2 linked regions of the Saccharomyces cerevisiae S288C genome follow. Changing the gene in region 1 together with any one later gene gives a genetic interaction. Each region holds a gene or a part of one and is shown in the gene's direction. Other genes may lie near its edges.

The links. A genetic interaction does not mean that the proteins touch.
Region 2: mutations in MTC2 (region 1) and RCK1 together harm fitness more than expected from each alone (negative genetic interaction), as found in Saccharomyces cerevisiae (2 studies listed by BioGRID).

Annotation. Positions count from the first base shown.
Region 1 is NC_001143.9:254,689-258,922, forward strand, and holds MTC2 (Mtc2p), read left to right. Parts: upstream 1-2,081; coding exon 2,082-3,155; downstream 3,156-4,234. Other genes in the region: YPF1 (aspartic endopeptidase), read right to left, coding at 1-772; rRNA-processing protein UTP11, read right to left, coding at 1,032-1,784; YKL097C (uncharacterized protein), read right to left, coding at 3,815-4,225. UniProt on the Saccharomyces cerevisiae protein: May be involved in telomere capping.
Region 2 is NC_001139.9:205,530-209,071, forward strand, and holds RCK1 (putative serine/threonine protein kinase RCK1), read left to right. Parts: upstream 1-1,503; coding exon 1,504-3,042; downstream 3,043-3,542. Other genes in the region: carbonyl reductase (NADPH-dependent) ARI1, read left to right, coding at 3,477-3,542.

The DNA of each region.
Region 1 (4,234 bases):
CTTTGTAATTCAAATTGGTAACAAACCCGCCTATCTTGTTCAGGTCTTCGTTATCATCAGCTATTGTTACACGATACCTTGGTAAAACAACCAGGGGATTCCAAGAAGCTAAATGTGATAGGTTTCTGAAAAGTGAGTTGAGAAAGTAGGAGTAGACAAATGTGCCAGCTGGGATATTTAGCAGTGTTATATTAAAATTCAAAATTTTCACCACATATTTTAGCCAGTTTAGGTGTAGTTTCTTGATCACAAAATAGAGAGCGAGTAAAGTACAGCCACTAGTTAAGGGCAGTATAATCGCATGTTTTTCATCCATCATATCGAAAAACCTCTTGCTTTTCTTCTTTTTCTTTTTATCTTCGTCATTCTCGCGGTAGATAACATGACAGTCGTGGTCCACATCAAAATCTGTAGGATCAAACAATGAGTGTTCTCTCGTAGGAGGTAGAGCTGTAAATGGAATAGAAGAAATAGACGTAAATGAGCCAATAACGACCAAAGCACTTGCGATGAGAACTAAAGTGGCGTAGTTGAATACTAAAGAATGGCTTTCCACCAAGTGTGTAATCTTGTGAGCAACGCGATATGATATCTTATCAAAGGCAGTGGTTAATTTGTTATTGTGGTTTTCAACTATAGCATTGATCTGTTCAAAAACTTGTTCTAATTCCTTGTTCGACGCACTTTGGTTAGCGCTTGATGAATTGTTCCTAAAGGCACGAGATGACCACTCTGAAAGGTGGTCAACAAATGAATTCAAATACTTGTCCATCGTGTATGAGTTTGTTCCCCATTATAGATCTGTAGTATTGCTCAAAAAGGGAGCACTTTACAAATCTTGTCCTAAATACTCCCATTCGGAGAGGGGTTCTTTTTTTTCCGGTGCCTCAAAATCCTTTTTTTTTTGATGGCGCAAAAGACACTTAAGAAAAGTGAATACTTTTTATAAACGTAATCCTATAAAACATGAAAAGAAGGATTACGGAACGTCTGCCTGATTCACTTATATATACTATATAGATGGTAAAAATCTAACGTTTCCGTTGTTTCTTCCATTTAAATGAAATTTTTCCTGAAGAGTCTACGATTTTTTTCTTGGAACCCTTCTTCAACAATTCTCTTTGAGCATCCATTCTTTGTTGGACCTGTTTCAATTGAGTTTCCCTCTGTAAGTGCTGCTTGACTTGCTTGAACTTTTTCAATTTCTTTTTGTCTAATGATTCCTTTGGCATTATTGATGAAGCGTTCCTATTGTTTGAAATATCTTGGGCTAATTGGTCCTTAGTTAATCTATTTTCAGATCTATTCACCATCTCGGAGGTGGTATTGAAAAACTTCTCTGGGGTGAATTCGTTCATCTTCTCTCGGGAATCGACGAATATTGTATGATTCCCACTGCTTTTGAACATCAACTGTTTCGCTCCTTTCTCCAGCTTTTTCAGCTCTATTTGCCTCAGCGTCCTCACATAATTACTATCTTGCGTTTTGAGTAATTTAACTTGATCCATGGAAAGCGATTCGTCTTCTTCGTCACCGTGACGTGAGCTGATCAGCAGTCCTTTTGCATCTGTCTTCCTTGAATGCATAGCATGGTAGTATTCATCTGGATTTCTCTCTTTTGCTTTTTCTCTGAGGACTTTCAAAGTGGACTGCTTCCTGTGGAAGTCTTGAGCACGTTTCACATAGTCTTTATGCTTTTCTAAAAACCCATATCTGGAACGGCTAGTTAGCTGAGAACGTTCTCTATGCTGCTTTTTCTGAACATCATGTACAAGTTTAGCCATATCTTTTGTCTGTTGTTGGCTGTAACGAACTAGAAAACCCCACTAGTATTATTCGATGATATGCAACTTGCTCTTATTGTAGTTTCTTAGCATTGTTTTCTTTACTCTTTTTCTTCAAATCGCGATGAGCTCATCTAGCCATAAAAAAATTTCATCTTTTACGTGCATAACGACAAACCTTTAAGCCTTAGAGGACTTGGTGATGTGCTCCTTTATAACAACGATTACTTCCATTGAACAGCAACACCTGCAAAATCGGAGCTGCAAAATTATTGATTGGATGTGGCAAAAATAGGAATGGGCGATCATAATCTGCCGGATTTTCAGACATGTTTGAAGTTTTCTGTTACAGCTAAAAAGAGCTTTCTATGTATGTATAGAGACAGCGTCTCAAAGGAAAAATTAGCCTCTTCGATGCCAAGTACTTGTGATATACAACTGAAGAGGGCAATCAATGACGCTTATCCGGGCGGAGGAATAAAGGTCACGGTTCTGAACTCAACAACTGCAAGCTTGGACTCGTTAGCAACTACACATGTTAAGGAATTTGAGATTGTTATCATTCCAGACATAAATTCTCTTTTACAGCCAGACCAAGCGAAATTAGTAAAAATTATGAGAGATTGCACAGTGGCGATTGAGAAGGCACAGTCAACACGTATATTTATAGGAGTGGTTCATTGGAATAATCCCGTGCAGCCTTCAGGCGCCGCTAAGGATGGGGATGAAGCAGGTAAACCAGCTCCCAAAACTCGCATCTTCCTGCCCACGTCTTTCCGTATGGGCGCTTGGCTCAAACACAAATTCTGGTTTGCATGTGCACCCCCATATTTGGATTTTGAAAGTTCAACTGAGTCTAGCATTAATACAAGAGCCAATAATAGCATTGGTATGGCTGAGGAAGAGAAGCAGGAGCCAGAGAGCAAGAGGTCGATCATATTAAATGAAGAGGCAAATCTGAACGATGTATTTGTGGGGTCCACTGTAAGACGGTATATTCTCGATATCATGGTCCATTTGCGAACGCATAGATTGACGTATAACGCCAAAGCCGGCGGGGTATATACAAATTCATTGGACGACGTGGTGTTATTGTCTAGATTAATTGGTCTACATAGCGGCAAGATGTTTGTGTCACCTTCACATGTCAAAGAGGCGTCCAGGTGGTACTTCCCCATGCACTTGGAATTGGTTCAGCGTTCCTCCATGGATAGTTCCTTATTGTACGGTAGCGACCCCAACTTGGTGGACGAAATGCTAGAGAAACTTGCGAAGATTAAGTGTGAGGAGGTTAATGAGTTTGAGAATCCCCTTTTCCTGGAATCTCTCGTAGTGAAAAACGTACTAAGTAAAGTCGTGCCGCCCGTGTAAGTTTATTATGTATTTCGAGCATGCATCTGGAACCTATGTTTACATACGTACAAACGGTATTTAAAAGTTTCTATTCTTAGCGTCAATTGCCCTTTATCGTTTTGTTAACCAATTGTTGTTTTTATTCATTATGCCATGACCCGAAAAATGAGCAAAATCGGTCAAAGTAAATAGCTAAATATTTGGTCTAAAAAGTAAGAGAGAAATGAAAATGGCAAGGCTTAACTACTTTGCAATAGTGTATATAGACATTACCAATTGAGTCCAGCAACGAAAGATTCCGCTTGCACTTGGTCAATCATTTACTGACCATAATACGAAGTAATAGAGATGCTACTAAAAGATGACCATGCGATTACAATTTACAATAGACAATTAAGCGCAAGGACAATCAGTATGCATTCCATTTCTAATAGACAAGGTGCTATGAGTGAATTGCTAGCCTCCCCTTTTTATTTTGTGCGGTCACCGCAAGGGACAAAGCTTTTCTTAGAAAACCGTCTGAGAAGCATAACGTACGCCATCCCCTAGACATATTAATAATGCTACAGATACTATGCTGCTCGTCTTTTTTTGACGACCCTTTTATTGCAATGTGCAACTAATGGCAAACAACCACATAGTATCACAGTATTACATTGCCTCCACCGATGCGGATGTTAGGGCGCCAAGTCTGTCATGAAGCATGTTCCTGTCATAATCTTGTATGCAAAATACCGCGTTCTGCGCCACTGATATGCTAGGCAGCAGCAACCTATGCAGAAGATTGCTTTTCCCACGCCTGTTTTACGTCTCCAGGGCACTTGAAACAATGCAGCGATCGCCGCCACAACACGCCAAAGAGAAGCGAAAGTGGGCCTGGGCGGCCTCAGTTTCGGCAGAGGTAAACAACACGAACTGAACTGCCTTAGCTCCGAAGGGCAATTCCACAGGCACTCCGCGGGGCCCGGCCAAGGCCCAAAAGGCGTGGAATATGCGCGTTTTGGGGCCATAACACCCAGTACCACGGCCGGAACGGGCCATATAATAAGTTTTTCACTCTCAAGAATGGTAAACGTAAATAGGAACATCCCACTACC
Region 2 (3,542 bases), on another chromosome or scaffold:
GCCGAGCGGTCTAAGGCGCCTGATTCAAGCAATATCTTGACCGCAGTTAACTGTGGGAATACTCAGGTATCGTAAGATGCAAGAGTTCGAATCTCTTAGCAACCATTATTTTTTATCTTTTTGGTTCTGTGATCAAGCTACCCGCGTTTGAAGCCGACTAAAGACGAGAAAAATTAGACCTTCATTTTTGCCTGTTTGCTGCATGTAAAAGAATGTTGGTTGAACATGTCGTTTAAGAGAAGAAATCGGGTACGGCGCTCTGGCTTTTAAAATTGAAGAAATTGGTGTTCTTCCGGTTAATACTTTGAACTCGGCTTTTCTTAACATGTAATAAAGTTTGTTACATCTCCCATAATTAAGTTTCTGGAACACGCATTGTTCTATTTTTAGACGGGAGACCAGAACTTCCTGATATATGACCGCTTTTTAGTGACTACGTATACTTTCTTTCTGCAATTACGTGTAAGAAAAAATTGATTTTTTATTTTTAAATTCACGGAATTTCAGACTGTGAAAACTTTGTAGTTCCAACTCACTTTGCTATGCAAGAAAATAATGAGGGGAAACAAAAAAAAAATGAGAGCGGAGAAAAGAACAATGCAGCTCAAGTATGAAGAAGAAAGTCACAGCAACGGAAATAAAAATCAAAATTGCGAAAATTGACAATCTTGACAATCGAAGCGGAAAAACAATGGAAGGTCCAGATACCTGTTGACCTTAAAAATGCAGAAAAATCGCCTTTATACGGCGACATTGTGAAAAATGACGTTAAAATCTTGTACATAAAAAAAGGGAATTACAAACTTGTAGTGTTTTTTTTTTTTAGGGGACTTGCATGAAAGTTAAATTTTATAGAAGTAATTAAATAGTCGATTTCCTTTCCTGTGTGTGACGAATCTAGATTTTTTTCATGTAAGAGACCCCGCCCTGCGGAGAGGGGCAAACAATTCTAGCAGAAAAAAATCAGTGGAAAAAAAAAAGAAATTCCGGATATGATAGAATATTTCTTCGAGAAACCTTTTGGATGAGGAGTGCCCTTCCATGAAGAAATTCTTCCTGCATCAGCACCTTCCCGGCAAGGCATTTCATTTTTTTTTTCCGAGAAGAAGATTTTTAAGTGGGCTACCCCACGCTTTCGGTGCCTATGGTAGCTGCATGATCACACAATGCACTCCCATTAAGAGTTTGTGAAGTGCATGAGATTGACATCTCGGCGTCCCTTAGTTTCCTGTCGGATTTTCAGTTATATGGAGTGGGTGAAGTCATTATCCGAATATTCGCGGATCATTGACGTATAAATACTTCATACTACTTCATACCAGATATTTCCTACATGTTGAAAGTCAATTGAAAAAAATAAATCATCACTTAACTCTTTTCCAGTGACACATCGCAAAGATTACTCAAATAATCTTCCTAAAACAATACTACCAGCATCTATTTCATGCAGCACCAAGCACAGAGGCTACATATCATATAAAATAAGTCATCATAGAGAAAAAAATGTCAGTAAACCCAGAATTTATAGCCGATGGCATCGATTTTTATCCAACAACGCCCGATGCCGCGTATTTCAATGCCGCTGATGGTAAAAATAAAGTTAACAGGATAAATGGTAACTCAGAAAATTTACACCACTCCTTTGCATCGGGTTGCCGTAGATCATCTCTTTCAGTCGACTTTAATGTTACCTCGTCCGATTCAGAAAAAAGTGAACAGAGCTGCTTGGAAAACAACTCTCAAGAAGACGAATATTTTTGTGACATTTTTTCCACTGAATTAAAATTAGATGAAACTTCTAACAAGTCAACCGATTATTCCAGTTCAAATCACCAGTATCCTGAACAACTGGAGTTGCACAATTATAAACTGCTCAATAAAATTGGTGAAGGGGCATTTTCCAGAGTATTTAAAGCAGTAGGCATCAACACGGATGACCAAGCTCCTGTTGCCATCAAAGCAATCATAAAGAAAGGCATTTCGAGCGATGCCATCTTAAAAGGGAATGATAGAATCCAAGGTTCCAGCAGAAAGAAAGTCTTAAACGAAGTTGCCATCCACAAACTGGTTTCGAAAAATAATCCGCATTGTACAAAATTTATCGCATTCCAGGAATCGGCGAACTACTATTACTTAGTGACGGAGTTAGTCACAGGTGGGGAAATATTTGATAGGATCGTCCAACTAACATGCTTTAGTGAAGACTTAGCTCGTCATGTCATTACTCAGGTAGCAATTGCAATTAAACATATGCACTACATGGGTATTGTGCATCGTGATGTCAAACCAGAAAACCTACTATTTGAACCTATCCCATTTTATGGCCTTGATGGGGACATGCAAAAAGAAGACGAGTTTACATTAGGTGTCGGCGGAGGCGGTATTGGTTTAGTGAAGCTAATGGACTTCGGACTAGCCAAGAAACTTCGGAACAATACCGCAAAAACTCCCTGCGGAACGATAGAATACGTCGCATCAGAAGTATTCACCTCCAAACGATATTCCATGAAAGTTGATATGTGGAGTATTGGCTGCGTACTATTCACGTTATTGTGTGGATATCCTCCGTTTTACGAAAAGAACGAAAAAACATTATTGAAGAAAATATCGAGAGGAGATTACGAATTCTTGGCGCCATGGTGGGACAACATAAGTTCTGGCGCTAAGAACGCAGTTACCCATCTTTTGGAGGTTGACCCAAACAAGAGATACGATATCGATGACTTCCTAAATGATCCTTGGTTAAATTCGTACGATTGTTTGAAGGATTCAAACTCAAATTCTTATGCCAGCGTGCAAAGCATACTAAATGATTCATTCGATGAGAGAGCAGAGACCCTACATTGTGCATTAAGCTGCCAATCTGAAAAACAAGATGACACCGAGTTTTCCAGAAGTGAAAGCTCGGAATACATATTTATGACGGAAGAAGACAGAAACCTACGGGGCAGTTGGATCGGTGAGCCAAAAGAGTGTTTTACCTTAGACCTTGCAACATCTTCTATATACCGAAGAAGGAAGAACAAGATATTCTTCTGGTAAACTCTTATCCAGTGGAAAACGCACCCAGCATATTCGAAAATATATCAACTGTCTCCCCTTTTTATACTAATAATTAATAGCATTCATATTGAAATAATAAAAAAGATACGTTTAATATTTACGCCAGCTCTCTAGTTACAGTTTCCTAACGCATACGTCATCAATTTGTTAAGATCGGCTTCGCTCTATAAAAATGTCGGCCGAAATTAGCATAGGATTTTCCGCGGTTCCGACCCCTATCCTAGAAACACGGAAAAACTTGCGAATAATTCCGGAATTTATTCTATGCAACTTTATGAAGACAAATTACTATAAATGAACCGCTCATTCAGAAAAACTATGTCTCGAGCTCAATGGATCTTACTACATAGTTTATAAAAACAGTAATTGTGCATTGTACAACTGTGCTAAACAGACTTAAAAAAGTAATAATTATGACTACTGATACCACTGTTTTCGTTTCTGGCGCAACCGGTTTCATTGCTCTACACATTATGAAC